4 linked regions of the Diceros bicornis minor genome follow. Each later gene encodes a partner of the first gene's protein in a complex. Links are inferred from orthologs where the notes say so. Each region holds a gene or a part of one and is shown in the gene's direction. Other genes may lie near its edges. The genes, in order: TAF8, TAF7, TAF5 and TAF10.

Region 1 (7,763 bases):
TAAAACACCTTTGGATCTCAACCTCCCTACTGTTCAGGGTGTGATATGTTGGGGAAGTTGATGCTCCGATCTGGGGGTTCATTTAGACATCAGGAGCACTGGCTTTGAAATCAGACAAACCAGTGTTCAAATCTGAGCTCTGCCACTTACTAGCTGTGTGACCTCAGCCAAGTTTCTTAGCCTTTCTGAGCCTGTTTCCTCGTTGTAAATGAAGGATAGCGGTATTTACTACCTGGAGTTGTGGTGAATATTAAGTGAGATAAGGCAGGTAAAATACTTAGCAACATGTGTTGCTCCTGACAACACCATTCAGCTCCTAAGCGGTCATTATAACCACATTCCTCTGGATTAAGGGCTGTAGGGAGTGCTTGCAGGAAGAGAAAGGCGAAAGGGCAGAGAGAGAAAAAGAGACTTTCTGGGGTTAGTCAGCCTTTCCCACCCAGCACAAATCCCAGGTGGGTGAAATCAACAAATGGGCACCTTGTTCCAATCCCATTTCCACAGTGTCTCTGGCCCCCTGCAGTAATGGGGCAGGCCTTGACAGCACTTTGAAACTCAAGAGTTTAAAGTTTAAATGTCTTTGAGGGCAAGAGAAACACACCAAAATAAACACACCTATCACCGCTCAGCAGAGAAAGGGAAACTTGGCAGGGGCCCCAGAACTTTCCCCACCCCCAGCCCTCCCTAAACTTCCTCTTGTGGTTTTCTCAAGAGTACAACCTGTTCTCCCCAGCCAAGAGAGCGCCTGGGGCAGGGGGCCGGAGCATGCCAAGGGTTCCACCGCACCCCACCCTAAGCTGAGAGAGGAAGCGGGGGGGCAGGGCCGGGGGGTGGCAGGGGAGCAGCCTGGAGGTCGGTACATCCTGCTTATCTGTATCTCAGTGTGGCCACCTCTGCCCTTCACTCCCTGCATCAATACCCATCCCCCCAACACACACCCCTCTCTCAAAGACAGAGGCACGAGGCGGTTTGATTGCTGGCAGAGAGGGACTGCCCCAGAGCCTCCCCAGATCTGTGCAGAGGGCTCTTGTGAGAAACCTAGAGTTTCAGAAAGGTAATGGAAAAATGGGTTCCCATGGAACCTCTGCCCTGTGGCCTGGCTCACACCATGGGCATTGTCCCAGCCTGCCTGGAGGGATGGGGTCAGATGCACAGAGGCAGCTTTGGGATGCAGCAGCTGTGGGGAAGAGAAGTGAGCATCTCAAGATTGCTTCCACTCCTCCCCCCGCATCTTCCTTACTTAGCTACCAAGTTGGACTGTTCCTTTTGGAATCTAGAATACGAGGGTCCACGCTATTCTTAAAGATTTCCAACAAAAGAGGTGTCTTGGTTTCCCACATCCCCAGATTCTGGCACAATACATCCATGCTGTGTTCGTTCTTGCATCAAACCTTGGTTTGTTCCTCTTGGTCAGTGAGGCTTACTCAGACACACACACACACACACACACACACACACACACACACGCCATTAGACAGCATATAAGCTCTGTGCAATCACCATAACCCTAGGGCCCCCAGGCCTGCTGGGGCTCCCTGCAAACCCGCGCTCAGCTAACAGATTGCTCTCCTCTGTATCACTCAAGATAAAGGACCAGGGACTCCCTTTCAGGGACTCCTAAGCCCCTGGCTCAAGTGCACATTCTATGTGGTCAGTCCAGGAGGCAGGCTAGCCTTTGGTTAAGAACAGGGCCTTCTAAGTCAAGTGACTTGGGTTTAAATCCCAGCTCTGCCATTTATTTCTGGTGTCCTCTTTAGGAAAATTACATATCTCCTCTGTGCCTGAGCTTCCTCATCTATAAAATGCACATAATCCTAGTGCTTACCTCATAGGACCATTGAGAGGATTAAATGAGACATTACACCTAAAACATTGAGAATAGTACCTGCCAGTGCTATATATAAGTGTCAGCTAATATTCTGAACCCTTGAGGGAGGGAAACAGGAAAGAGAAGGCGCTTGGGACCATGGAGGTCATGGTCTCAACGACTGGGCATAGACTGGGATCCTGCTGGAATCCTCAGAAACGCTTTTGATTCTAAATTCCAGGGGGATAGAAGCTCTGACTCGTTTGCCATTACATCCCCCACATCTAGCCTGTGCAGACAGAGTATGGCCACAGCAAACAGGTGTTGTGCCCGTCACCTCTCCCAGGAGCCCAGAAACTGAAAGAGCAGAACACTCTGCAGGAAAGCAGTGGGAGCTCCAGTTCTCTTCACCCAAGTCTGGTCTCAAAGAGAACTGAGTGGGAGGCAGAGAGCAAGGATTTGTTAGAGGAAACAGTCCTAGAGTCCAGAGATGGGCGTGGGTGCCCCAAGATTGTGTGGACTGTTGCATCACCCCCAGGTGGACCCTTCCAGCTGCACCCAACTGGGAATTTCTGGGTTCTTAGGGATCAGCCTAGAAACCTGCCTTTCCCTGAATTCATCCTGTTCATTCCCACCTCTTCCTCATGCCCAGGCAGTGGGTTAGAGAGAGCAGGAACTGCATCTGAGTCCTCATTGTACCTAATGCCCCACACCACTGTCAGGCATGAGTACAGCTCTGGAGAACGAAAAAGTGCTCCCAATGACTTCCCACCACTTCTCTGCCTGGTGACTTGCATCATTCAGAAGACAACTCAAACGTCCTCTTCTCTCTGAAGCATTCCCAGCCACTCCAACTTGGCACCTTATCTCTGTCGGTCTATGACACACACTAACTGTGGATGACTAACATCATTGCACCCTCAGCATCCCACACCATCCCAGACACATAGTAAGTGCCCAATTAATGTCTGAAAATGAATACATTAATGCTCCCTTAGTAGCAGCAACCAATTTCTTCCGTTATTCCTCTCGCTGACACAAAAGACACAGAAGAGGCTAAGCCCGTCACTTGTGTACCCATCAGACACCAGAGGGACGAACAGTGAGGGGTCTCTCCTTCCAGTCCTGTACTCTGGCCTCCTCCTTCTGCCCTGGCTGGCAGGAGGACCTGAAGGGTCTCTCTCCACACTGGTTCTGCCCTCCTACTTGCCTCCCACCCCTGTATCTGAGGTATGAAGAACGACGACAGCCCAGTGAAGCCACTGGGCTTCCAGGTCAGCTTGGAGGGAGGCTGTGGGGACATAGAGGGCTCAGGGCTTTGAGGGGCTTCTCTGCCCTTCAGCTACGTGCAGAACAGCTCACTCAGAGAGAAAGTGAGCCGAGCTTTGGGTGACAACGGGGAGGTGATAAGGCGCGGTGACCCCCTACCCCGGGTACCCAGCCTGAGCTTGGAGGCCCCAGAGAAAGAGGGAGATGCTGACACTCCCTCTATCTTGGTTTCTCCAGCCCTCAAGCCTACCTCCTTGGCAGGTGAGTCCACCAGAGCACCGACTGTGGCCGCACTTTCTCCTGCCGCCTCTGGCTTCTGTCTTTGGGAAGGTGGGGGAGGGGGGTCGCAACTTCCAGCCGCGGGGGTTGGGGGGGCGTGGACCCCTCCTGCAGACGCCCAAACCGAACCAGTCTCCGCCCCCGCGGGCGCGGCGTGTTTACAAAGTCCGCGCCGCGCCGCCGATCCGGAGTTTAAAGCTGGGCAGGAAGTGGGGAGGAGGGGGCGGGGGAAACAAAGGGGCTGGGCGCTCCGCTCAGCTAAGGTTTGGGCCCCGACTCCTCCTGGCGCGGCCCCGCGGCTCACCCGGCGCCGCGCCCCCCGCCCACAGACCCCGCCCCCCGTGCCCTGGGTGAGGGGCGGGCGCGCTCCCAGGCTCAGGCGCGCGCTGCAGGACAGGCGCAGCGCAGGTTCCCAGACTTCTGCCTTCTGGGCGCTCCACGCGCTTGGCAGGAAATCAACAACATTAGGCGCTGTTTCTTGACCTCTTACTATACGTCTGGCACCGTGACAGATCCTTTGTGTATTTTAGCTCATGTTTTCCCCTGCTTTCAATCCCACCCCAGTTCCACAAAAGAGGAAACTGAGGCACAGTAAGGTTGGGTAATGTGCCAGACGTCCCACGGCTGGCGAGTGTTAGGATTCAAACCCAGAGTCTGCGTCCTGCCAGGCACCCGCAAACGGAGACGAAGGAGGCATGGTGAGGTCCCCGCACGAAGAACCCCATCCAAAGGGGCTGACGGGCGAGTGAGCCACGGAAAACTACAGGCACCGCGTGGACGCAACGCCCTGGGAGTGAGGCGGGCAAGGGACAGCCTCCTGCCGCCTGCGCCTCCCGGCTGGCCGCGCAAATACCTGCGGATTAATTGAGTGCGAGAAGGCAGCTGGATGCAGAGGAAAACGTGCACTAGGTGGTCGTTAGGCTCTGGTTCCAAGTGGGACTTGGGAACTGCGGAGCTGTCAGCACAAAATAAGGTTTCCCAAATTTCCCGCACAGGAGAATCACCTGGAGAGTTTAACAATAGAGATTCCCAGGCCCCACCCCAGAGAGTCAGTCGCTGGGACTGGACGGGACCCAGCCAGGTGTTGCTAACAATCACGCAAGTTTGAGCGTTCCAGAGCTGTGCTCTCTATGAGAAACGATTTCATCTTGAAAGACTTGTGAAACCGAGGGCGCGTCTTCCTGGCCAATTCCGTGGCGTACTGGGACCCCCTGAACCCAACGCTCACAGAATGTCACGTGAGCCGGGGTCATCAAACGCATCCCCCCATCTGGGCTTCGGAAAGCCCGCAGGGGCTCGCGCTGCCCCGCCCCTTCCCTGCCCCTCCCTGCCCCTCCCCGCCCCGCGACTACAAGTTCCATCCTGCCCTGCGCTCGCGCACACTACGCCGAGCAAGATGGCCGACACGGCGGCCACTGCCGGGGCCGGCGGCTCCGGAACGGTAAGGGCGGGAGGCGCGGGGCCGAAGCCGAGAGAGTCTGGGCATTCTGTAACTTTCCCCTAGCCTGGGCGACAAGCTCATACCCGGAAGTCCAGCCCCACCATGAGCTCCGAGTGGAGGAAGGTCTTCCAGGCCGTACATGCCCCCCCTCCTCGGGACTTGGCGGCGGCCTCCTGAGTTGGTGGACCTGTGTACTGATTGGCTCGTTCCCTGTTGGGTGTTGGGAACCCGGAACACCTCCTGATTGGTCCGAAGAGGCCGTTTTCGCTTTCTTATTGGCTAGCCAAAGTTGGGAGGGATTCCTGTTTCAAAATATTTAGCTTTCCTACTTGGCTATTATCCTTTGCCCTCCTCTTCTCAGCATCCTGTGTTATTATTTTAATTTTCCTGTTAGTGAGATGGTGTAGAAATGGGAGGAACAAGAGAGAGTTTTTGTTTTTTTCCTTCTGAGAGGTAGACATGAATTCACTCCCATCATGCGTGTTTCTTTAGCTATGTAATGTATTCTGATACTCTGCTGAAATAGAAAGTAAAAAACAACCATTTTGTGTTACTAGAATTTTAAGTTTTAGGTAGGTAGAAAGGCATTCTCCGTATTTAGAGCCCCTTGGGTGCTCAGTTATCACTCAGCCAAGATCTATAAGTCTAAACATCGGAGCCTGCCACATTTTATTAAGCACTGATAAATAAGTAGTTAGCAAAAGAACCTTTGCTTGCCATTGATGACATGTGAACTATGTGATTGTATCCTTGTCCTGTGAATGAAAATCTTCTCTCTTTTTGGGCTGCTGATTCACAGAGATCAGGAAGTAAACAATCTACTAACCCTGCTGATAACTACCATCTGGCTCGGAGGCGAACCCTGCAAGTGGTTGTGAGCTCTTTGCTGACAGAGGCAGGGTTTGAGAGCGCTGAGAAAGCATCTGTGGAAACATTGACAGAGATGCTGCAGAGCTGTGAGTATGGGGAAAGCTAGGCCTTGTCGAGTCAACCACGCATCTGTTCTGTGTCCTGCATTGTGATAGTGTTAGAGAGGATTTAAGAAAAAGGAGACCATAGTAAAGTGACTTAGAGGCTTTAGAATCAGACAGACCTGGGTGTAAGTCATTACTCTGTCACTTAATAGTTTGGGCAAGTCACTAAACCTCCTGAACCTCCATTTCCTCATTTGTGAAATGGGATAATAATTTACACCTAATGGAGTTGTGAGTATGAGTAAGATATATCTGTAAAACATTCAATGCTGGGAACATTGTAAGCTCTTGATGACTTATAGGTGCTGTTATTATTGCTGTTTGCTCTCTATGTTCAAAGAACTTACAGTTTTGTTGGAGAGTTCAGATTAATTCCCATGAAGTAGATGCCACACATTATATAATCAAATGTTATATTATGTGATACAAAGAGTAAGGGTGAATAGGTTTTATAGAATGGGAAAAACCACTTTTAAAAGGAGATGTCTTGGGGCCAGCCCTGTGGCATAGCGGTTAAGTGCGTGCGCTCTGCTGCTGGCGGCCCAGGTTTGGATCCCGGGCGCGGACCGCCGCACCGCTTGTCAGGCCATGCTGTGGCAGCGTCCTACATAAAGTGGAGGAAGATCGGCACGGATGTTAGCTCAGGGCCAGTCTTCCTCAGCAAAAAGAGGAGGATTGGCATGGATGTTAGCTCAGGGCTGATCTTCCTCACAAAATAAATAAATAACTTTAAAAAAAAAAAAAAAAGGAAATGTCTTGAGGTTTAGGAACCTGGAATGGTCTCACCTAGGTTTTGCTGCATGTGCAACATGTTTCCCTGTTTGGACCTTATTTTATTTTTAGTAGGATGGGATGAGGGATAGGGGTATTTAAGGTGTTTTTAAAGGGATCAACACCTATGAGTGGAAGTGAGAGAGGTTTAGGCAGAGGGAGAAGTTGAACTGCAATGCAGGTCAGACAAAGAATTACTCAAATCCCTGGGGAGCTCTGCATAGCTTATTGCTATCAGTATCCCACCTCAGGCCACACAGGCCCTCCATTTGTACTCCAGTCTTGATCAGTCACTAGATGTGGGCGTGCCAGGAAGGGTGTGACCTGGGGTGAGGTGGCTCTCTGCAGCTGATATTTAGAACTTTTCAATACCAAATGTTTTCCTAAAGCAGCGATCTTGAACTTTTTGGTCTCAGAACCCCTTTAGACTCTTAAATATTGAGGACCCTGAAGAGTTTTGTATACATGGGCTTTATATACTATATAGATATTTGCGACGTTAGAAAATAAAACAGAATATTTTAAAACATAAGAATGCACAAGCATGTGTTCCATTATCCAGCAGAGCCATGATGTCATCACAAGTCATATAGCCTCTGGAAAACTACATGCGAGAATGAAAAGGAAAAAGTCAAAAAATGTCTTAATTTTATTCTGAAAATGTTTTTGACCTGTGGACTTTGGAAAGGATGTCAGGGACACCCTGGGATTCCTAGACACGCTGAAAACTTTTGTCCTAAAGGAGTGGACTCATATTTCCCAACAGATAGGAATTCAGTTCTTGAAAAGATCTCGCCATTCCGAGTTTAAAGATCCTCATAGTCGAGGTGGTTCTTTCTCCTACCACTAGAAGACGCCTTTTTTTTCCTCAGAAGAAATGGTTGCCGCTGAACGTGAAGGCGCTGAACTAGTTGTGTTGGAAAGCTGTGAGTATTAGAACTAAAAGGTCTGGAGATAGTATAAAAGCCTGCCTCTTCAGCCAAAGGAGTACCAAGGATGGGTGGCTTAAGCTGAGGGCTTGCTGCGACTCGAGCGCCTCCGTGTTGTCAGTGGTTCTGGATGTCAGTTTTAGGATTTGCGTTAGTTGTAAGCATCGGGCAGAACTGATGTGCTTGTTCACTACAATCACTTCGTTTCTAGGGACCCCAATCTTAGACCCGGCTTGGAGCAAAGTCTCTGTTTCCTGTATGTATCCTTTGACACCCTAGGACCTGCTGGCATG
Region 2 (7,432 bases), on another chromosome or scaffold:
TTGTTTTGATTTGCATTTCCCTAACAGTTAGTGAAGTTGAGCATTTTTTCATGTGCTCACTGGCCATTTGTATGTTTTTTGGAATTACATATATATTATTATAATCCCCCAAATAATCAGCTCTTTCACGGATACTATTAGTTGCCTCTATGGACTGAATGTTTGTGTCCCCCCCAAATTCATATGTTGAAACCTAACCCCCAGTGTGATGATATTTGGAGGTAGGGCTTTTGGGAGGTGATTAGGTCATGACGGTGAAATCTTCATGAATAGCATCAGTGCCTTTGTAAAACAGGTTGCAGAGAGCTCCCTTACCCCTTCTACCACGTGAGGTTACAGCGAAAAGACTGCCATCTATGAACCAGGAAGCCTGCCCTCACCAGACACCAAATCTGCCAGCACCTTTATCTCAGACTTCTCAGCCTCCAGAACTGAGAAATAAATTTCTCTTGTTTACAGTCCCCTCAGTTTATGGTATTTTGTTATAGCAGCCTGACAGGACTGAGACAGTTGCCCAAGCCCTTTCCTCTCTTCTAACACTTTTCTTTTAGTTTAGGTGTCCACCCTCCCTGTACCTCAGGGGAAGCTGAATGTATTCAGAGCTGTAGTAGGTTCTGATAGATCTAAACCCAATAATGGGGTCCTCTTGTCAGTGTTTAGTTAGGAATATAGGCTTAAAATAATAAACTTAGGGCAAGATTTCCCAAGCTTGGAACTATTTTGAGCCAGATAACTCTTTGCTGTGGGGGGACTGTTCTGGGCATTGTAGGATATGTAGCAGCATCCCTGGCCTCTACCCACTAGATGCCAGTAGACCCCACCCCCACAGTTGTGACAATCAAAAATGTCTCCAGACATTACCAAATATCACCTCCTCCCTACCATTTTGAAAATCACAGGCTTAGGGTATTCCCCTGGTGACTATTATTGAGCCATAGGTACATATTGAGGGATAGGTACATGGCTTAAGTTGGTCCAATCAAATTGAAAGACAGACTTAGGTTGGGGGGAGCCACTCTCTAAACTTACCATAGACAAGGAAGGAAGTTCCCCAGTTACTGTTGGCAGGTTTCTTGTGACCACAGACTTTGTAAGCTTACAAGGAGATGAGGGCAAAGCTGAAAGAATAATAGAAAAAGTAAAAATAAATGCCCATTCTCCAAAATTAGGAAGAAAAAAACAATTTATGCCAGCCAATGATTCTGTCATGCCTAGAGGCAGCCATACTTCTAGAACTGCACTGTCCGATATGGTAACCACCAGCCACATGTGGCCTTGAGCACTTGAAATGTGGCTAGTCCAAAGTGAGATGTACTGTTAAGTGTAAAATACACGCAAGATTTCAAAGATTTAGTACAAAATAAGAATAAAATACATTATTAATAATTTCTACATTGATTATATGTTGAAATGATAATATTTTGGACTATTAGGTTAAATAAAATGTTATTGAAATTAATTCGTTTCTTTTTGCCATTTTAATGTGGCTACCAGATAATTTAATATCACATATTTGGCTTTCATTTGTGGCTCTTATATTTCTATTGGACAGAGCTGCCCTAAACTACCTGTTTTTTTTTTCTTCTTCTTCCCTTTTTCTCCCCAAAGCACCAGTAGATAGTTGTATGTCGTAGTTGCACATCCTGCTAATTGCTGTATATGGGACGCTGCCTCAGCATGGCCGGACAAGCAGTGCGTCGGTGTGCGCATGTGATCCTAACCCAGGCCGCCAGTAGTAGAGCTCGAGCACTTAACCACTAAGCCATGGGGCCGGCCCTCAACTACCTGTTTTTTGAGATAACAGATTTTCTGATTATTTAAACCACTGTTGGTCTTTTCTTAGGTTGGTCTTTTTTCTATGGAAAGCATCCTATTTGATACAGGAGACTGCTAAATTTTAGTTAACCTGCTTTTTACTGTTTATATACTGATATTGCAGTATGTAAGTGTACTTTTTTGGGGTGTTTGCTATTTCCTCACCCCTATAATTTTCTATCTCAAAAATATAAGCAAGGCTTCTCCCATCACCCATAATTTTTAACTTCCGCAGTATAAGGAACTTGAAAGTTTATCAAAAGTTTATTACAGAAAATTTTCAAACATACAGCATTAGCCTGATTGTGATACTCCTTTATTATAGAAAGGAAGTTTTTGGAGAACTTGTTACCACACTGGGGAATTTATTGCTCTCCCCAAATCTTTTGGTTCACTTGTCTCACAGATATTCTGTGGAACAACCACCGGAGTGTAATTCTTTCATCAATTCAGAATGTTTCTGTATGTCTAATGATTTTGATAAATAAAAACAACTGGATTTATCAATAGACATTCAGGTAATGATGATGTGATAGAGCCCTTAGCTTTAGGATCAATGCAATTTCCCCTCCAAAAAAACCAGCATTCAGAGCCAGCCCTCATGGCCTAGCAGTTCAAGTTCAGCATGCTCCAATTCTGTGGCTGGGGTTTGGTTCCTGGGCGCAGAACCACACCATTCGTCTGTCAGTAGCCATGCTGTGGCAGTGGCTCACATAGAAGAATCAGAAGAACTTACAACTATACACAACTATGTACTGGGGGTTGGGGGGTGGGGAGAAGAAAAAAGGAGGAAGATTGGCAATAGAATAGGGTGAATATCCCCCTACAAAAAAACCCAAAAAACAAAAAACAGCACTCAGAAAATGCATTCATTTCAAAAGCAGAAAATATGTTTCGGGATTGAAAGAGGTAGATACTTTAGGGGAAACTTCAGTTAACCTTTTTAATTATATCTGATAATCTTCCATTTAAAGGCTTACTAACTAAAATACATCATAATTTTGGCAAATCAGTATTGCATAGAATTTATCTCAAGTTACTTCTCTGACAAGGATTATTTGAGCATCATAAAACTCACAGGCAATAAAATGCAAAGCAATATTTGGATTATTTTCATGTATAAGCATGGACTCACATTTTATATGGTTAAATAAAACATTATGCAGAGGCTAGCTGTTAAACTCATATCTATAAAATAAGTAAAATCAGGTATAATTAAAGGACAAGCACAGTAAAAAAAATTTCATCTTCAAAAAGAGGAAATACATCATCCTGGAACTTACAGATAAATCAGCTAAGATTTTTCAACACATTATAGAACAGAGAGAACTAATGTACAGTTATCTGAAGAGCATAACATCTCCTTCAAACTTAATATAAAAAAACCAAACTGGTGTCATACCACTTTAATTTCCTCCTATGATACACAGTATGACAGTCTACCTAAACCAAAGAGGACACATTCACACACACTATTAGCAAAACTCTCTGCTCATAACAATTGGCACTGTCCTTGACTAAAGAGTAAATGTTTATGAAGTGGCTCTATCTCATTTTAAGGTCACATAGAATGTATTTTCTCTCGCAAATTATTGTGGAAGTTAGACTATATGTTCTTTCTAGATGGATCAATTGTTTCATTCAATTAGCAAATATTTTTTGTATATCTCTCACGTTTTGATCCTAGGCATTGGGCCATGATGAACTAGATAGAAGACTCCTGATTATCATGGAGCTTCCAATCTGAGGTGAGGGAGACAATAAGTACATAAAGAAATAAAGTGAATTTTGAAAATGTTAGTCCCATTTTAAGAGCGGTCTCTCAAATTTAGATGCAGTTGTTAATATTTTAGAGGACAGAAATTAAATTTTTAATGACCTTGATGCTCTACCAAGCTGATCCTACTAAAAAATAAATGGAAATAAATAAGTGGAAACTGTTACATAGTTAGGCCAAACTACTATAAATACGTGTTGATGAATACCTGAATACCCAGAGAAGAGACAAGCAGAAAACAGTTATCAAAACAGCAAGGGTGGAATGAAAAACATTCCGAACTATTTAAAAATTACTGGCAAGTGAGTGGCAGGTAGTAACACTTCAGTTATATTCTACTTCGATCAGACTATTTGTCTACCAGACAACTCTGATCTAAACAAATACGTGCCTCCAGAAGAACACTTACTTCTCTGTTTACATTTATATCTAAACTAAACATATTAAAAAGAGAAATCACCCTTGTTCCCTTGGGGTCCGTCAAAACGGTAACAGACCCTGAGGCATGAGTCCCCTTTGGGCATTTTCATAATCAACAACAAAAAATAGAATTATATAGTGAGCAGCATGTCCTCCTCACTCGACTGACTTGGGTACTTTAAAATCCACTGTATGGTTAACTATAAATTGTTGTATCGGCTCCATATTGGATATACCCGGGGGAGCATCCGAGCCGTTTCCAGAAGCAAAGACGCTTTGCGCACGGACGCCCTATTTCCGGAAATCACCCGGAAGCCTAGACGCTGTCCCGCCCCACGGCGATCCGGTGAAAGTTCTGGCTCAGCGACGGGGGTGGCGGCAGGACCTACGTCTTTCTTGGAACCGTTTTCTCTAAATTTTCTCAAACCAATAACTGTTTATGAAACACTGTCACTTTTAACGCGTAAAGCCAACTTCTCGCGAGAAGCCAAATCACGCCGGATAGCGTAATTGTGCGTTGCGCCTGCGCGCGCTGGGGCAGTTCGTACTTCCGCGTGAGGCGTGCTGTCACTCACAGCCGCTGGCCGCCTCGCGCAGTGACGTAGTGCTTTCTCCTCCGCTACGTCTGCAGCTCCGCCCAGAGGTTTGTCTCGCTGCGGAGCTGCAGCTTGGCGCTGGGCGCTGCGGGTCCCGGTGAGCTTTCGTGCTGCCCATCCTGGGCCATTTCATTGATAAGCAGTAGCGGATCGCTTTGCTACGAGCCGGGAAGAACAAAGGAATCAGGAAGGAGACGCTCGGCCCGGCCGCCTCGCGCCGAGTTGCTGCTGCTTCCGCTGGCTCCTGTCTGGATAAGCTGGGTTTATAGTCGTCACTCGATTGTAAGTACCCGAGGCGAAGAGAGCTCACTGCGCTCCGCTTTTTGAATATCTTTGTTCCGGGACCTTTTGTGGATTGGGAGTGTCTGCTGGGCCTTACTTTCTGTGCCGAAAATCTTTCTGCAGGAGCCGCCATTTGCTTTCTTGCTAGCTTGCTCTCTCTGCATTGTTCGGCAGCGGCATCTAGAGGTTGGAACTTGGCATTGCAGCTAGTAGATCTAAATGGACCGAACTGAATAAGTCATGGTGTCAGTAACCACTGGTATTCAGGCACAGAATATTTAGAAAGACTTGGGGCTTAATTCAAAATTAAGAGAAAATAGATGCTTAGCTGCTGTACTACCGAGAACTATTTGTAATTAAAGATTTCCATTCATAGCAAACAGGTCTTTCTAACTGCTGCAATAGCTGGAACTTTTTAGTGCAACAAGTGGTTATTGGAGAAGTGAGTCTGAAAGAAATAAAGATGAGTAAGAGCAAAGATGATGCTCCTCACGAACTAGAAAGCCAGTTTATCTTACGGCTACCTCCAGAATATGCCTCTACTGTGAGGCGGGCAGTACAGTCTGGTCATGTCAACCTGAAGGACAGACTGACAATTGAGCTACACCCTGATGGGCGTCATGGAATCGTCAGAGTGGACCGGGTCCCACTGGCCTCCAAATTGGTAGATCTGCCGTGTGTTATGGAAAGTCTGAAAACCATTGATAAAAAAACTTTTTACAAGACAGCTGATATCTGTCAGATGCTTGTCTCCACAGTTGATGGTGATCTGTGCCCTCCTGTGGAGGAACCAGTTGCTACTGCTGATCCCAAAGCAAGCAAGAAAAAGGATAAGGACAAAGAGAAGAAGTTTATATGGAACCATGGAATTACTCTGCCTCTAAAAAATGTCAGAAAGAGAAGGTTCCGGAAGACAGCAAAGAAGAAGTATATTGAATCTCCAGATGTGGAAAAAGAAGTGAAGCGGTTGCTGAGTACAGATGCTGAAGCTGTCAGTACTCGTTGGGAAATAATTGCTGAAGATGAAACAAAAGAAACAGAAAATCAAGGCCTTGATATCTCTTCTCCAGGAATGTCTGGCCACAGGCAGGGCCATGACTCACTAGAACACGATGAGCTTCGGGAGATATTCAATGATCTCAGCAGCAGCAGTGAAGACGAAGATGAGACACAGCATCAGGATGAAGAAGATATAAACATCATTGACACTGAGGAAGATCTGGAAAGACAGCTACAGGACAAGCTAAATGAATCAGATGAACAGCACCAAGAAAATGAGGGAACTAATCCGCTGGTTATGGGAATTCAGAAACAGATTGATAACATGAAAGGCAAGCTCCAGGAGACACAGGACAGGGCAAAGCGACAGGAAGATCTCATCATGAAAGTAGAAAACCTGGCCCTCAAGAACAGGTTTCAGGCTGTGCTGGATGAACTCAAACAAAAGGAAGACCGAGAAAAGGAGCAGCTCAGCTCTTTGCAGGAAGAGCTAGAATCACTCCTAGAGAAGTGAGAAGAGCTTTGATACTGAATTTCATTCCTTAGACTAGTCAACATTAAAGGAAAGTTCTTGGCTTCATCACCTGGACTAGATATTATAATTTTGCAATAGTTCTGATTTCCTCCACTGCCTTCTATTGTGTTTGTTTTATAAACAAATATAAATGTGAATTTCTATTTCATTTGTCTCTCAGAACCACTTTGCTAGGTGTTTGTCCTGTAAAAAGTAGGAATGTATAGACAGATAAGTGATTGTAGGAAAGTTGTAGGGTTAGTGGAATGAACAGTTCAACCTTAGTAATCACAGCCTCACTGCAGGACTTTGCTGCTATTTCTCCATTTGCCAAAAGCTGGTGTTGCTGCTTTGTGGTGACATCTGAGATCAATAAGAGTCTAGTCTGGAAGCAGTGAAGCTAGTTTGCATATGTTTTCCTATGCAGTAGCTATTTTCCTAGCTATTCCAAGCAATTTTCCACATGTAGAGTTGCAAATAGTTTCTTAAAGTTGTTTTAACACAATAAATAAAAGCAACTAATTTTCACCTCATAATGTGTCTTCCTTTTTTAGGGGTAGTGGGTGTGTCAGATCCTCTTATAAGGTGGTTTCTTGGTGGGATTTAATGACTGAGCAATTTGATCGTGTTTTGTAGGGAAAGAAACAGTTATGTTGGGTTTTAGGGAAAACCCAACAGCGGGGGGCAAAGAAATTGGGAAATGTCATCTTTGCATTATATTAAGTTTCCAATCCACCTGCTCCATTTGGAAGTTAGGAAACACTAGGTACAGAACCTTCCTAAACTACCCTAATTTTTGTACATGTAGGTCTATTTTTATCTTTTTTTTTTTTAAGTACTACACATCTGCTTAAAATATTAGAAACAAAACAAAGTAAGGGCTATCAAGTACTGTTCATTGAATCATTCCATTGGTTTGGATTAAGATTGTATTTCTAAATATTTTCAACTTAATTTCTGCAATTATTTAATATTCTGAGAACTGAAGTGATTTGTCCATGTCAGTTGGTCAAAATTGCTCATAAAGGA
Region 3 (7,567 bases), on another chromosome or scaffold:
TATTGTGCGTTATGTAAGTATATTTCTTACCATGAATCATGGCCAAAAATGTTTGAAAGCTACCCATCCAGAGACGATCAGTGCTATCCAACAGAAATATAAAGTGAGTGGCATATGTAATTAAAAATTTCCAGTAGCCACATTAAAAAAGTAAAAAGAAACAGGAAATTAATTTTAACAAAATATTTAACTCATATCAAAAATATTATCCTTTCAACACTACCAATATAAAAATTATTAATGAGCTATTTTCCATTCTTTTTGTACTAAGTCTTTGAAATCCAGTGTGTATTTTACACTTACAGAACACCTCAGTTCAGACCAGCCACATTCAGTGGCCGTAAATAGCCACACACTGATAGACAGTGCAGGTCAGTTTACTGCAACCACTTCCAAACTGAACTTGCTATCTCTAGTCTTGCTTCCCGCTGATCTTTTCCTCCAATTCAGCCTGAGACATATAAACACATAAGTCTGCTTATCCCCTTCCTCAGATTAAAATGGTCCAACCGCTTCCTATTACCTTAGGGATAGAGTCAAAAGTCTTGAACAGGATTGATTTTTGTCAGGATCCAACCCTGGCTAAGCTTTCTGGTCTCATCTCTTCTTCCTCCTCATGCTGATGCTCCTGCCATAAAGAGTTTTGTTCTATTTCTTAAATATGCTCTCACCTCTCTCACTTCTGGTCCTTTGCACATCCCCTCCCCTCCCCCTGCCACCTGTCCCAAGGTTTCCCTCTAGCACAGTAAACATTGTTACTGTCTGGGCTCCATCACTCCTTTTGCCAACACATGCACACACCCACACCCACACCCACACCACACCCACACACACCCCTCAGGAAACTTTCCTGTAGTCAATTGCTACTTTTGACATTCCTCTTTCCAGAGTGAGGTGGGAAAGAGACAAACACAAATAAAGGGCTTTTCCCCAAACTAACTCTTGTCTGTGGCCCCCTGACCCCTTTCACTTTGAGCTGCTATTACATACACACACACATACACACCCTTAGAGTTTTCACAGTTTTTACAGATCTATCAGTTTCAGTATCATCTCTAGGGTTGGGTATGACGGGGAAGCCAGCCACCAGTGTGAATTTAAACTTAAGAACTAAACAAGATGGCAAACTCACACTTGTGGCTGGCTCCCCTGTCACGCCCAACCCTAGAGATGGCATTGTAATTTATAGATCTGTATAAACTGTGAAAACCTGAGGATACGTGTGTTTGCATGTATGCGTGTGTGTTGGCAAACAGGGAGTGACGCAGCCCAGACAGTGACACCACAGTCTTTCCTCCTTTTGGCGCATCCTTTGCCTTTTCCCAGTGCTGGGCTTCAGCCTCTCCCTCTGGGTATACATATCAGCCAAGGTAGCTGATACCTCCAGGAAAATACAAATGCATGGAGAAAAGTAATGAGATGCAGAAGGAGGTGCAACTCCCATTAAAGCAAAAAATGGAACAACCTAGACTAGATGAAACAGATTAAATGCATCAGATGGAAAGATAATTTAAAAAAAATAACACATATCCTCGAAGAGAAAAGAGTTCATATTGGTTACATCAGGGTTTCTCAACCTTGGCACTATCAACATTTTGGGCCAGATAATTTGTTGTGGCAGGGGTGGGGCTGTCCTGTGCATTGTGGGAAGGTTAGCAGCAGCCCTGGCTTCTACTTGCTAGATGCCAGTAGGACCACCCCGAGTTGTGACAACCAAAAGTGTCTCCAGACGTTGCCACATGTCCTCAGGGGAGACAAAAATCACTCAACTGGGTTACATGAAGCAGCAACAATAAATCATGAAGAACCAATTCAAAATACTATGGAAAATATAATGGTTGAAGTAAATAACTCAATAAATGGGTTACGGAGCAATATGGATCTAGGCCAAGAATGAATTACTGCACTGAAAAATCAGGTAGAGGAACGCTTTTAGAAGGTATCAGGAAGAGGTGAACATAAAAATATGAAAGTTAACAGACCTAGAGGAGAGACGTATAAGTATCAATATCTACATCACAAGAATACAAGAAGGGGAAAAATAGAGGGGAGAAAATATTTGTAGATCTAATGCTTGCTAAATTTCCAGAATTAAAAAAAATATCCCAGGGGCCGGCCCTGTGGCTTAGCAGTTAAGTGCGCGCGCTCCGCTACTGTCGGCCCAGGTTCGGATCCCGGGTGCGCACCGATGCACCGCTTCTCCGGCCATGCTGAGGCTGCGTCCCACATACACCAACTAGAAGGATGTGCAACTATGACATACAACTATCTACTGGGGCTTTGCAGAAAAAAAAAAAAGGAGGAGGATTGGCAATAGATGTTAGCTCAGAGCCAGTCTTCCTCAGCAAAAAGAGGAGGATTAGCATGGATGTTAGCTCAGGGCTGATCTTCCTCACGAAAAAAAAAAAAAATATCCCAGACTGAATGGGTGCATAAAGGGCCAATCGGAATAGACAGGAAAAAGGTAATCCTAGATACAGTAGAGTGAAATGAAAGAACATCCAAGACAAAGAAAAACATCCAGAGAGAAAGAGCAGCTGTTCTATAAGGGAATAAGATATAGATTGACACTAGACTTCTTAAAGCATCCCAGGAAGAGAGTAGGCGGAGAATGGGAGTAGGGATCAGAAAGGAAGCGGAAAAGAGAAACAAAAATTAAAAATGGGACTTGCGGGCATTCAATAAACATCTCTACTGTGGTGTAACACAAAGCCACTCTACTTGGAGTAGGCAACCTTGGCTGAAGTCTCAACCCAGACTCTTTGGAACTTAAGAGACAAAGTCAGGTAAAAAGCAGACGCCACAGATGGAAAGGAGGTGGCTGTACTTCTGTGAGTCCTAGTGTCTGGGCTTCAGCTGTACAGGTGGATCCAGTTCCCAGGACTTGATTCACGAGACTAATGTATGCATCAGAAAGTTAATTTCCTAGTCATAATGGGGTAAAACATCTTTTCAGTGAATAGTAAACACACCTGGGCTTGTTATTCACGGCATCTCTCATCTATCTAAATGTTCAATTAATTATTAAGTTAATTAGTGAATACTGAATCAGAAAAAGTGAGTTGAATGATCCCGAAGAAAAGGATGAATTCTCCCCACCTCATAAGAGTGTACCATCAGATTCAGGTTTTCTCTCTCTGGGCCAGTGCTGAGTGAACGCTAACCAATTCTTGCTCATCTTCTCTCCCCCACCTCCAACCCCATGTTTCATATTCTTACTTTAGATAGCCAATTAAATTAGTTTTATATTTCAGTCTTGAGATCACCCTGAACATTATGATTGGACTTTCTTAACAAACATTTACAGAACACCTTTTAGGGGCTGGCCCAGTGGTGCAGCTGTTAAGTGCTTGCGCTCTGCTGCAGCGGCCTGGGTTCGCCAGCTCGGATCCCCGGTGGGCTCAGACGCACCGCTTGTCAAGCCATGCTGTAGCGGTGTCCCATGTAAAGTAGAGGAAGATGGGCACGGATGTTAGCAAAAAAAAAAAAAAAAAACACCTTTTAAGGTGAAGTAAAAATAACCAATAGCTATTTATTATCTTAGGTATCACACACGCTTTACCTCATTTAATCCTCACAACAACTCTATAAGGTAGGTACTATTATTATCATCCCTATTTTAGAAATTGAGCAACTGGAGTAGAGTGAGTTAAGTAACTTGTTCCCGGTCATTCAAGGAAGCCAGTAAGACCTCAAAACAACAACCTGAATAACTGTGCCAGATCTTCCCGATGTCCCAGGCTCACTTTTCTTGTCTGTACCTATCCCACAGAGTTGTGAGGTTCAAATGAGATAAAATACACAGCAGTGAAGCATGCATATGAATGAAGCTTATTGCAAAACGGTATATACTATTTAAAAATATACAACTAAAATGCAGTTTATTTGTAATAATGGATAATATAGCATGAATACAGAATGTACATATTTCACAATCACAAAATTCAGGTACTTAAAAACTTTTTATTGAAATATATATGCTATAACGTTCACAAAGCTTAAGCGTGCACTCGATTTTTACAAAAAGAAAAACTGCAAAAATAAAATAAAAATAAACACCATCTAGATCAAAATATAAAACATTACCATTATCTCAGAAGCCTCCCTCTGACAAATGATATATGCTTTTGAGTTAAAGACCTGGATTCGAATCCTGACACTTTGCACTTCCTTCTTGTGTGACTTTGGCAAGTTATTTAACCTCTTTGGATCTCCGCCGAACAATCTGTAAAGTGAGGATAACAGTACCTTATAAGATTGTTGAATTAAAGGTGGTCATATAATGTAGAACGTCTATCACAGTGCCTGAATATAGCTGGTCTGTAATAAATGGTAATTATTATCAGGCAAACGTAATAGGCGGCTGCCTACTCTCACTTCCTGCCTTTCTGTCACTCACTTTCGAAAGCTGCCCTGGCTCCCATTTCTCTTCTCCTTCTTTCTCGCCCCTCCTACTGCCGTAAATTGCCTTCCAGAACTGTCGTAAAATGCTCCTCCCCACCCTCCATGTGGCGAAAACGCAATCACGCTTGACGGCGCGAGGTGGCTCAGCCGCAAGATGGCGGCGCTGGCGGAGGAGCAGACGGAGGTGGCGGTCAAGTTAGAGTCTGAGGGACCGCCGACGCTGCTACCTCCGCAGGCGGGGGACGGCGCTGGTGAGGGTGGCGGCGGCACTACCAACAACGGCCCCAGCGGCTGCGGCGGGAACGTTGCGGCGTCGTCCTCGGCCGGCGGGGATGGCGGGACCCCCAAACCCTCGGTGGCTGTCTCCGCCGTTGCCCCGGCGGGGGCGGCCCCGGTGCCCGCCGCTGCTCCGGAGGCCGGCGCTCCCCACGACCGACAGACTCTGCTGGCCGTGCTGCAGTTCCTACGGCAGAGCAACCTTCGCGAGGCCGAAGAGGCGCTGCGCCGTGAGGCCCGGCTGCTGGAGGAGGCAGTGGCGGGCTCCGGAGCCCCGGGAGAGGCGGACGGCGCCAGCGCTGAGGCGGCTAGCGCGCTTCTCAGCCGGGTCACAGCCTCGGTCCCCGGCCCTGCGGCCCCCGACCCTCCGGGCACCGGCACTTCGGGGGCTGCCGCCGTCTCGGGCTCAGCCACAGGTCCCGCGGCTCCGGGGAAAGGTGAGCCGCGGGGTCTCGGGGAGGCAGGGCCGGCAAGAAGGGGAGCAAGCCGGGAAGGCAGGGGATGGCAGGCCTGCACCTCTGCGGGCTTGTTTTGAATTTCCTGGGCCCGCCTCTAGGGCCACATGCCCGCCCCTTTCTCTAGTGCGCCGGCTGCGCAAACCGTCTTCCGAGCTGTCAATTCCAGCGAGAGGCTGAGGAGAGCTGTTGAGCAGAGGGATGTATGGGGAAGGTGGGCGCGGAGAGGCGGGGACTTTCATGCTCTCGGTCCCTTTCCTCTTATTTGGGCTGTGGAGCTTTTAGCAGCTCTACCTTGACACTAGCAATATTTGTACAGTTCTGTACTAGCATACTTTAAGTACTATAAATACTTGAAGTTGTGTATCTTAATTCTTACAGTTCAAACTGTGACGTAGACGTTACCTCTATTCTAGAGATGAGAAAAAAGACTGAGAAAGGCCAAGAGACTTGCTCTGGATCACACAGCCAGGGAGTGATGGAACTTGGTGTAGCCAGTATTTCTCAAAATATAGGCTAAGGACCACCAGTGTTAAATCTTTTGGGGAATGCGGATTCCTGGGCATCACTTCAGACTAAGTGAATCAAACCCTGTGGAAGTGGAGACTAGGAATCTGCATTTTTAATAAATGTTTCCAGGGGGTATTGATGTATGACAAAGTTTGAGAACCGTTCGTTTAGGAATAGTGGTTGGGGGCCGGTCGGCTCCGTGGCGTAGTGGTTAGGTGCGCGAGCTCCGCTGCTGGCAGCCTGGGGTCGGATCCCGGGCGCGCACCGACACACCGCTTGTTAGGCCATGCTGTGGGGGCATCCCATATAACGTAGAGGAAGATGGGCATGGATGTTAGCCCAGGGCCAGTTTTCCTCAGCAAAAAAGAGGAGGATTGGCAGATGTTAGCTCAGGGCTGGTCTTCCTCAAAGGAATAGGGGTTGGGGAGACCTGGGTTCAGATTCTGTTTCTGTTGCTTTTTCTTGTGTGATGCTGATTAAGTTATTCTTCCTAAGCTTGAGCTTTTCCCCCCTCTATTAAATGGGTTATTGTGAGGCTTGGATATAATATATGTACAATGCCTAGCACTGATAAGTTTATGACTAGGTGTCCATCCCTGACATCTGAGGGCCCCCCCGCCCCTTTTCCCAGCAACTGTTGTCTCCAAGTCCATGTAGGAGTAAAACTCCTACACAATGTAAGGTCTTAAAGGTGATCCTGAGTTGATAATAAACATTTATTGAATTAAATTATCTAGTGCAGAGCCTCTGGGCAAATTAATCTGTATTTATGAAACCTAATTTTTGCAGCATTGCCAGAGTGAAGTATAATTAGATAGCACTGTAACTCATTAAAAGAAATGTGTGAAAATATGATTGAGAGGAATCTTTTCTGAATGCTAAATTTTGCACATGAACTATAAGATGGATGAATTATGTTGTTGGTTATTTTACTGTAATCTCTCATATCTTCAGAAACTTGACCTATTTTTTTAGATCATAACTCAGAAACCAGTAAGGAGGAAAAGAAGCCATAAAAGTGATTAACAGATTTTATAATATTTGTGCAGTAAAGAGCATAACATAACAGTTGCAACTTAAAAATTGCCAACAATCAAACTGATTTGATTGACAGATGTATCATTGTTTGGGATTGCTATATTACAAATAAATACTCATGTTTTCTGCCTTGAAATGGTGGTTATGGAAATTGTTTTAAGCCTATAAAATTGAATTATCTTTTGGAAATATAAATAAGGCAAGGTCCTTCCTGCTCTTAAAATGCTTACGTTTTATGAAGAGTAATAGATGTACACATGTGAAGGTAACATATGATGGGATGTATTACAGGAAAGATACAAAGTACTTACGTAGCTCAGAGAGCTGGGACTATTACTCCAGGGCATGAGTTGGTGGTGGTGGGTGCCGTTTGCACTGAGCCTTGAGAGAAGATTAATATAGTTTTTTGATTTGCACATACCTTGTTTTATAAAATTTGTCTTTAATATAAGGTAGCTCCAGGAAAAATAGTGGATCTTTTTGTTATTGATTTGAAAATTTTATTTTACGATATGGACAAGCTGAAGGAGTTTTGGATGGGTGACGGAAACAAAGTGAAAATCCCATTTAAAGATCACGTGGTTGTGTTGGGGAAGAGAGCTTGAGAGGAGTGGGAGAAACATTTGAGAAACAATTCATCTCTGGACCTTAGTAAAATAGCCCCAGTTACTTGGTACATAACATGTCATTTTCTTGAAAGTTGTTTTCATTTTTTAAACAGTTGGAAGTGTAGCTGTGGAAGACCAGCCGGATGTCAGTGCCGTGCTGTCAGCCTACAACCAACAAGGAGACCCCACAATGTATGAAGAATACTATAGTGGACTGAAACACTTCATTGAATGTTCCTTGGACTGCCATCGGGCAGAGTTATCCCAACTCTTTTA
Region 4 (6,615 bases), on another chromosome or scaffold:
CTGACCCATGATATCTGCTCTGACTCCCTCCATAGTTCCTGGAGCAGTATTTCCATGACTCAGACCTGGCTGAGTTCATGCGCCTCTTTGGTGGGAAGTTTGCACACCAGGCATCAGTAGCCCGTGTGGTCGGACAACAGGGTCGGGGCCTGGCCGGGATCGAGGCCAGTCTAGATGTGCAGTACCTGATGAGTGCTGGCGCCAACATCTCCACCTGGGTCTACAGTAACCCTGGTACTGCCATGGGGACTGGTTGGTGGGGAGGGGGTGTGGGTGAGTGTTGATCCTTGCTCCCTGAAGGGAATCCCATGAGCTAGAGGGAGAGCCTGACAACCCACCAAATGACTGCCCTTATGCTCCACCCCCTCAAAAAAATCCAGGCCGGCACGAGTCACAGGAGCCCTTCCTGCAGTGGCTCCTACTACTCAGTAACGAGTCAGCCCTGCCACATGTGCACACCGTGAGCTACGGAGATGACGAGGACTCCCTCAGCAGTGCCTACCTCCAGCGGGTCAACACCGAGTTCATGAAGGCTGCTGCTCGTGGTCTTACCCTGCTCTTTGCCTCAGGTGACCTCCTACTCAAATTTAGACCGCCTCCACTCACCCACCCAACCTGGCAGATTTGACCCACAGTGACATGTGAACCTCATCTCTGACTCATAATCTGAACTCAACAGAGACCACTGACTGACCTCTAAACTTTGACCTCTTGCAGTAATGACTAACACTTGAATTTCCTCTCCGACATCTGAACCCACACACCAAGCTCTGACCAATTAATCTGAGTGCTAAACTCGGTCTCTCTCCCAGGTGACAGTGGGGCTGGGTGTTGGTCTGTCTCTGGAAGACACCAGTTCCGTCCCACCTTCCCTGCCTCCAGGTAAGCACCCTAGCCGACCACTTACCTGTGACCACCAACCTTTCATCTGTGACCTCCTGATCTGGAACCTTTGCCTGACCGCACCAGGCCCTCCTGTGACTCAGCCCTCAGCTTTACCTGCTCTGGTTGCTGCACTCCCCTCTTCTTCCTGTAGGTCCCAGGCCCCAAGACTCCTGAGTAGGACACAGCTCCCAGTGTTCCTTTTCCTCAGTCCCCAGGCATTTTAGTGAAAGATTTGGTGGGTGTTCCATAGGGAAAAATGTGCACAGTCACCTCAGGCCATGCCTTGAGGGCTCAAAACCTCTTAGTCATCCCCCTGTACATGCTTCCCTACAGAGTCCAGCCCCTCTGCAAGTCCAGCCCCTATGCAAGATCCAGGGCATACTTCCCCATCCCTACTCATTTTGGAGGTCCCCTTGGGACCCCTACGATCTGAGCGCTGTCTTCTGCCCTCAGCCCCTATGTCACCACGGTGGGAGGCACATCCTTCCAGAATCCTTTCCGAGTCACAAATGAAGTTGTTGACTATATCAGTGGTGGTGGCTTTAGCAATGTGTTCCCACGGCCTTCATACCAGGTACGCATATGTTTGTGTGGGTGGATGGGTAGGGGGGATCCTCAGTTCAGCAGACAAGACTCACTCAGCAATGCCTTTCAGGAGGAAGCTGTATCCCAGTTCCTGAGCTCCAGCCCCCATTTGCCGCCATCCAGTTACTTCAACGCCAGTGGCCGTGCCTACCCAGATGTGGCTGCACTCTCTGATGGCTACTGGGTGGTCAGCAACAATGTGCCCATTCCATGGGTGTCTGGCACCTCGGTGAGAATCAGCCTGGCTCCAAAACCCCCACTCAGCAACTACTCTTGCACCCAGAACCCCTGACTCCTCAGAGACCTCTGGTCCTTTCAAACATCCCTCTCCCAAAGTCCAATCACTCTGAACCCCTAACCTCTACTTACACCCTCACCCTTGCAGGCCTCTACTCCAGTGTTTGGGGGTCTCCTAGCCCTGATAAATGAACACAGAATTCTCAGTGGCCACCCTTCTCTTGGCTTTCTCAACCCAAGGCTCTACCAGCAGCGTGGGACAGGACTCTTTGATGTAAGTGTGGAATGGAAGGGGGCGGACGTTTTCCTAAGAGTATGGGGAGTGCTAAAATGAACTTGAGGGCAGTTCTTACGGGGTGGGAGAGCCCCTGGGATGTGAATACAATGTGAGGGAGTGCAGTCTATTAGTACTGGGACCAGCAGACCCAAATCTGATGCCCACTTTCTCCCTAGGTAACCCGTGGCTGCCATGAGTCCTGTCTGAATGAAGAGGTGCAGGGTGAGGGTTTCTGCTCTGGCCCTGGCTGGGATCCTGTGACAGGCTGGGGAACACCCAACTTCCCAGCTCTACTGAAGACACTAATCAACCCTTGACCCTTTCCTACCAAGAGAATGGGCCTGTCCCCTGCCCCACGGCTGGCGGCTCGGTCCCTTATTCTGCAGTTGGAAGCCCTGCTGAACCCTCAACTGTTGACTGCTGCAGATAGTTTATCTCCCTAACCCTGAAATGCTGTGAGCTTGACTTGATTCCCAATGCTTCCCTGCTCCATGATACTCAGGTCTCCCTACTCCTGCCTCAGGTTCCTCTACAGATGCTATAACCAGTACTGTTTGGGATTCCCCCCCCCCCATTTCTTCTTTCTCTTTTCAACCAGACTTTTCCAAAGGGTTGTCTACGCAGTCTGTATACGTTATTCCACCACATATTCTCTCAATTCATTGCAACGAAACCTCTGCTTTCATTTTTTCACTTTTTCCTCCCGACACTGAGAAACAATGGCCTCCCTGCTGCTTCATCCAGTGCACACGTCCCAGTTTCCGCTTTAGGGGCTCTCTGTCATAGTTGCTCACTCTCTCTCCTTCTTTAGCTTCCAGGGCTTAACTTTTCCTCTGACCATTCTCTCTTCCTCCTTCATTCCCTCTTCCTCCTTCTCTTTCTCTTCTTCCTCATTGAATATTGGTGTACTTCATTGCTCCATCCTTAGTCTTTTGCTCTCGTCACTCTACCCATTGTCCCCTGGAAGAAATCAATCACTGGCATCCACAGCCATCACCATCTCCCAAATCAGACTTTCTATCCAACAGTAATTGATACCACAGATGCAAGATGTGTGAAACTCAATACTTGATCTCCCTCCTTCCCAATCCCAAACTGTTCTCTTTTGTTTATTCTTGGTAAATGATACTACGCTTCTTCCAACCAAGCCAGAAACCTAAGTGTCATCCTAGACTCCCATTTCCTTCACCTCCCCCCATCACCACCTTCAATCAAGTCCTATTGACTTCACCTCTTAAATACATCTTTATCAATCCACAAGTCCTGCCAGTTATGTCTCCTAAGTATATCTAGAACTCGTCTGCTTCTCTCCATCTCCACTGCTACTACATTAGCTTAGAGCCATCTTGTCTCTCCTCTGAACTGTAGGAGGCCCTTGCAAAAAGTGTCCTTACGTTCTGCCCTTCCCTAAACCATCTTCCAGAGTAAAATGCAAATCCCATCAGGTCATTTACTTGATTAAGACCCTTCAAAGATTACTGGATAAAGTTCAGTCTTTTTACCATGATTCACAAACTGGATCCCTTCCTTGCTGTTTGTTCCTGAGTAACAAGTTGTTTATCCTCCCCTGCTCTCCTCCCCACACTTTCACTCTTGCTCAAGACATTCTGTGCCCTTAACACTACTCTTAACTCCCCTTTGCTTGGTTGACTTCCAGGACTTTTTCAAGAATCAGCTCAGAAGTCACCTTCTCCTGTGAACCTTTTGGCTTCCTGAAATTAGTTGATTTTGGCATGTCAGAAAAATCCTAGATTTTTGAAACCAAACCAGTTTGATTCTTGGTTCTGATATAGACTAGAAGAGAACCTTGGGCAAGTAAGTTCATCTCCCTGAGGCTTTTTTCTCATGTTAAGTAGGGATATCGATACCTGCCTCTCATAACAAGCAAGGAATAATTAAATGGAATCAAGTTGATAGAGCACCTGACACACAGAAGTAAGCAGCAGATGTTAGTTCCCTTCCTCTGCTGCACCGCATTCTGTGTCTACCTCTAGGATTATAAATCTCACATAATATTGAAATTGCCAGATTACCTGTTTGCCTCCCTTTCCAAGACCATTGGTGCCTAGAGGACTAGAATCTTGTCCTACTTAACTTTGTATTCCCAGGCCCTAGCTCAGGATTGGCAAATAGGAATCAAATAAATGTTTGCTGCATTTAAAACCCCACTTTTTCACTCGCTGTGATTTTGCATATGTTGTTTACCCAGGCTGAAATACCTCTTTCCACCATCTACAGCAACACTGTGTGCGCTCTCCCGCTGCCCTCACTTCTCCCGGCAGCTGGCGGGGAGTGGGGGCTTTCCAACTCCATTACTAAGCCTTAAAAACACTGAATGAGGGAGCTATAAAGGATGCAGGCTGGCAGGCCTCCTGGTCGAGGGGGCTGGGCCCAGGAGCCCCAAAGCAAGGTCTTTAGGCGTAAGACTGAATGAGGGGGTCCCAGACCCACCGAAGAGAGTCCTCGACATTCAAGGGTTCCCATCCCAGCGGAACACTTGAATACGGCGCGGGTAGAGGGTGGAATGTCCGCGGCCAGCGCCATTCTCCTAGGCTGGTCCCCAACCTTCAGTCCATGTCATCCAGCGGGAGGATGGGCAACCGGGAGGCGGAAAACCTACGGCGGAGGGCGAACACGGCGTGGGCGCGGCGAGTCGCGAGGCGTGTGACGTCACCCATGGTGTGTGTGCGTAACGTGAGCGGAAGCGGAAGTGGCTCTGTTCGCCGCCTCTCCCACCGGCCCGATGAGCTGCAGCGGCTCTGGCGCGGACCCCGAGGCGGCGCCGGCCTCCGCCGCCTCGGCCCCGGGCCCGGCGCCCGCGGTCTCGGCCCCCGCCGCGCTGCCCGCCGGCACTGCTGTGGAGAACAAGGCCAGCCCCGCGGGGACAGCAGGGGGGCCTGGGGCTGGAGCCGCGGCAGCGGGCACGGGACCCGTGGCGGCGCGGGCCGGGGAGCCGGCCGAGCGGCGCGGGGCGGGTGAGGGCCGGGACGGGTGAGGGCGAGGGCAGCGCCTTGGGCTGGGCCCAGCGGCGGGTGAGAGCAGAGGGTCTAAGGCAGATCTAGCCGGGGCCCTGCGCCCCCCACCTCCGTGTCTCAGTTTGCTGGTTCTTCTCCAGCTCCGGTGTCGGCGGGCGGCGCGGCGCCCCCCGAGGGGGCCATGTCTAACGGGGTTTACGTGCTGCCGAGCGCGGCCAACGGAGAGGTGAAGCCGGTGGTGTCCAGCACGCCTCTGGTGGACTTCCTGATGCAGCTGGAGGATTACACGCCTACGGTGGGCTTCCAGCCTGAACAAGGCTGTTGACACGCTGTCACGCCAACTTTCCGCCACACCACCTGGATTTCCAGCGTCCTCTTGTATTTGCTTCCCTGCTAGCTCTTGTGATTTATCCCCTCTGCCCAGCCAAACTGTGAGCTTCCTGATAGCCAGGCCTGTCCTCCCCCATTTCCCTTACTCTCTCACTGCCGTGCACAGGGCTAACACTGACAGTCATCTAATTGATTTCTCAGATCCCAGATGCAGTGACTGGTTACTACCTGAACCGTGCTGGCTTTGAGGCCTCGGACCCACGCATGTGAGTAACCTGTGGGCAGGTTAGAGCCTTGGGTGCTTGTGTGGACTCTGTTGTCCATCTCCTCCTCATACCAGTTTTTTCTCTCTAGAATTCGGCTCATCTCCCTAGCTGCCCAGAAATTCATCTCAGATATTGCCAACGATGCCCTACAGCACTGCAAAATGAAGGGCACAGCCTCTGGCAGCTCCCGAAGCAAGAGCAAGGTGTGAGGGGAGGCTCATTGAATCAGTAATTACCTCCCCAGCAGCAGAGGCTTAATTTATGCTGAAACTCCTTTGGGGAAACTAAGCTCTAGGGGAGGTGAATGACCTACTCAGGGTCATCACCTGGGACTAAAATCTGGGATTCCTCTGCTCAGCTGGTGCTCTTCCGTCTTCCCTCAGGACCGCAAGTACACTCTAACCATGGAGGACTTGACCCCTGCCCTCAGCGAGTATGGCATCAATGTGAAGAAGCCGCACTACTTCACCTGAGCCACCCAACCTAAATGTATTTGTCTGTCCCCTTGACCCCACACCAGCCTGTTTCCATAATAAACTTTATTGTGACAGGCAGGGCTGATCCCTCCCATGCTGGGAGACACCGTGTGGCAAGTGACAAAGCTCTGAGCCCAGCCCCTTTTGGGGCCACAGTGGTAGGGACGGGGGCAGGGGATGGGCCCCATGGCTGGGGTAGTACCATGACTGGAGGCAGGGAAGGCAACCAGAGGCCTGCAGCTCTGGGGAGGTGCACTCCCCTGTGTCCTGACACCTCTGGAGTATAGGCAAGGACTTTCCAGCCCTACTTGTCCTGCATCTTCTCCAGGATAGGCACAATCATGTCAAACTTGGGTCGCTTAGCAGGGTCTTCATTCATGCAGATCTTCATGAGCTTACACACATGGGGGGAAATGCCTGGTGGGATGGTAGGCCGAAGGCCTTCCAGTGCCACCTGCAGATACAGGGAAAAACCAGGTAGGTCTCAGAACTTGAGTCATGTGGGGAAAGGCCTCTAGCCCTCAGGACAGGATTACTGTATATCCAAACATACACAGTATGAGAGCCCAGCCCCACCACAGTTA

Evidence for each region.
Region 2: TAF8 (region 1) and TAF7 share a complex: the UniProt entries of both Homo sapiens proteins name them as parts of the TFIID basal transcription factor complex. The link is inferred for Diceros bicornis minor from reciprocal best matches to the Homo sapiens genes TAF8 and TAF7.
Region 3: TAF8 (region 1) and TAF5 share a complex: the UniProt entries of both Homo sapiens proteins name them as parts of the TFIID basal transcription factor complex. The link is inferred for Diceros bicornis minor from reciprocal best matches to the Homo sapiens genes TAF8 and TAF5.
Region 4: the proteins of TAF8 (region 1) and TAF10 are in contact, whole or in part, in a crystal structure (PDB 4WV4), measured with the Homo sapiens proteins. The link is inferred for Diceros bicornis minor from reciprocal best matches to the Homo sapiens genes TAF8 and TAF10. Residues at the interface, in NP_612639.2 of Homo sapiens: Arg33, Thr36, Leu37, Val40, Ser43, Leu44, Leu45, Ala48, Gly49, Phe50, Glu51, Ser52, Ala53, Glu54, Ala56, Ser57, Thr60, Leu61, Met64, Leu65, Gln66, Tyr68, Ile69, Ser70, Ile72, Gly73, Arg74, Ala76, Lys77, Cys80; in NP_006275.1 of Homo sapiens: Pro115, Leu116, Phe119, Leu120, Leu123, Tyr126, Thr127, Thr129, Ile130, Pro131, Val134, Thr135, Tyr137, Tyr138, Leu139, Ala142, Gly143, Phe144, Glu145, Ser147, Asp148, Arg150, Ile151, Leu154, Ile155, Leu157, Ala158, Ala159, Gln160, Lys161.

The regions. Positions count from the first base shown.
Region 1 is NC_080753.1:23,422,468-23,430,230, reverse strand, and holds the start of TAF8 (transcription initiation factor TFIID subunit 8), read left to right. Parts: upstream 1-4,751; coding exon 4,752-4,796; intron 4,797-5,595; coding exon 5,596-5,752; intron 5,753-7,763. UniProt on the Homo sapiens protein: The TFIID basal transcription factor complex plays a major role in the initiation of RNA polymerase II (Pol II)-dependent transcription.
Region 2 is NC_080740.1:59,489,620-59,497,051, reverse strand, and holds TAF7 (transcription initiation factor TFIID subunit 7), read left to right. Parts: upstream 1-4,645; 5' UTR 4,646-4,890; intron 4,891-5,013; exon of another isoform or gene 5,014-5,266; 5' UTR 5,267-5,353; coding exon 5,354-6,403; 3' UTR 6,404-6,931; downstream 6,932-7,432. UniProt on the Homo sapiens protein: The TFIID basal transcription factor complex plays a major role in the initiation of RNA polymerase II (Pol II)-dependent transcription.
Region 3 is NC_080745.1:68,225,835-68,233,401, forward strand, and holds the start of TAF5 (transcription initiation factor TFIID subunit 5), read left to right. Parts: upstream 1-4,550; 5' UTR 4,551-4,558; coding exon 4,559-5,117; intron 5,118-7,404; coding exon 7,405-7,567. UniProt on the Homo sapiens protein: The TFIID basal transcription factor complex plays a major role in the initiation of RNA polymerase II (Pol II)-dependent transcription.
Region 4 is NC_080746.1:64,662,016-64,668,630, reverse strand, and holds TAF10 (transcription initiation factor TFIID subunit 10), read left to right. Parts: upstream 1-4,712; 5' UTR 4,713-4,727; coding exon 4,728-4,959; intron 4,960-5,099; coding exon 5,100-5,254; intron 5,255-5,490; coding exon 5,491-5,555; intron 5,556-5,643; coding exon 5,644-5,758; intron 5,759-5,938; coding exon 5,939-6,028; 3' UTR 6,029-6,109; downstream 6,110-6,615. Other genes in the region: TPP1 (tripeptidyl-peptidase 1), read left to right, coding at 36-234, 381-574, 818-882, 1,339-1,459, 1,541-1,699, 1,856-1,981, 2,161-2,301; ILK (integrin-linked protein kinase), read right to left, coding at 6,336-6,485. UniProt on the Homo sapiens protein: The TFIID basal transcription factor complex plays a major role in the initiation of RNA polymerase II (Pol II)-dependent transcription.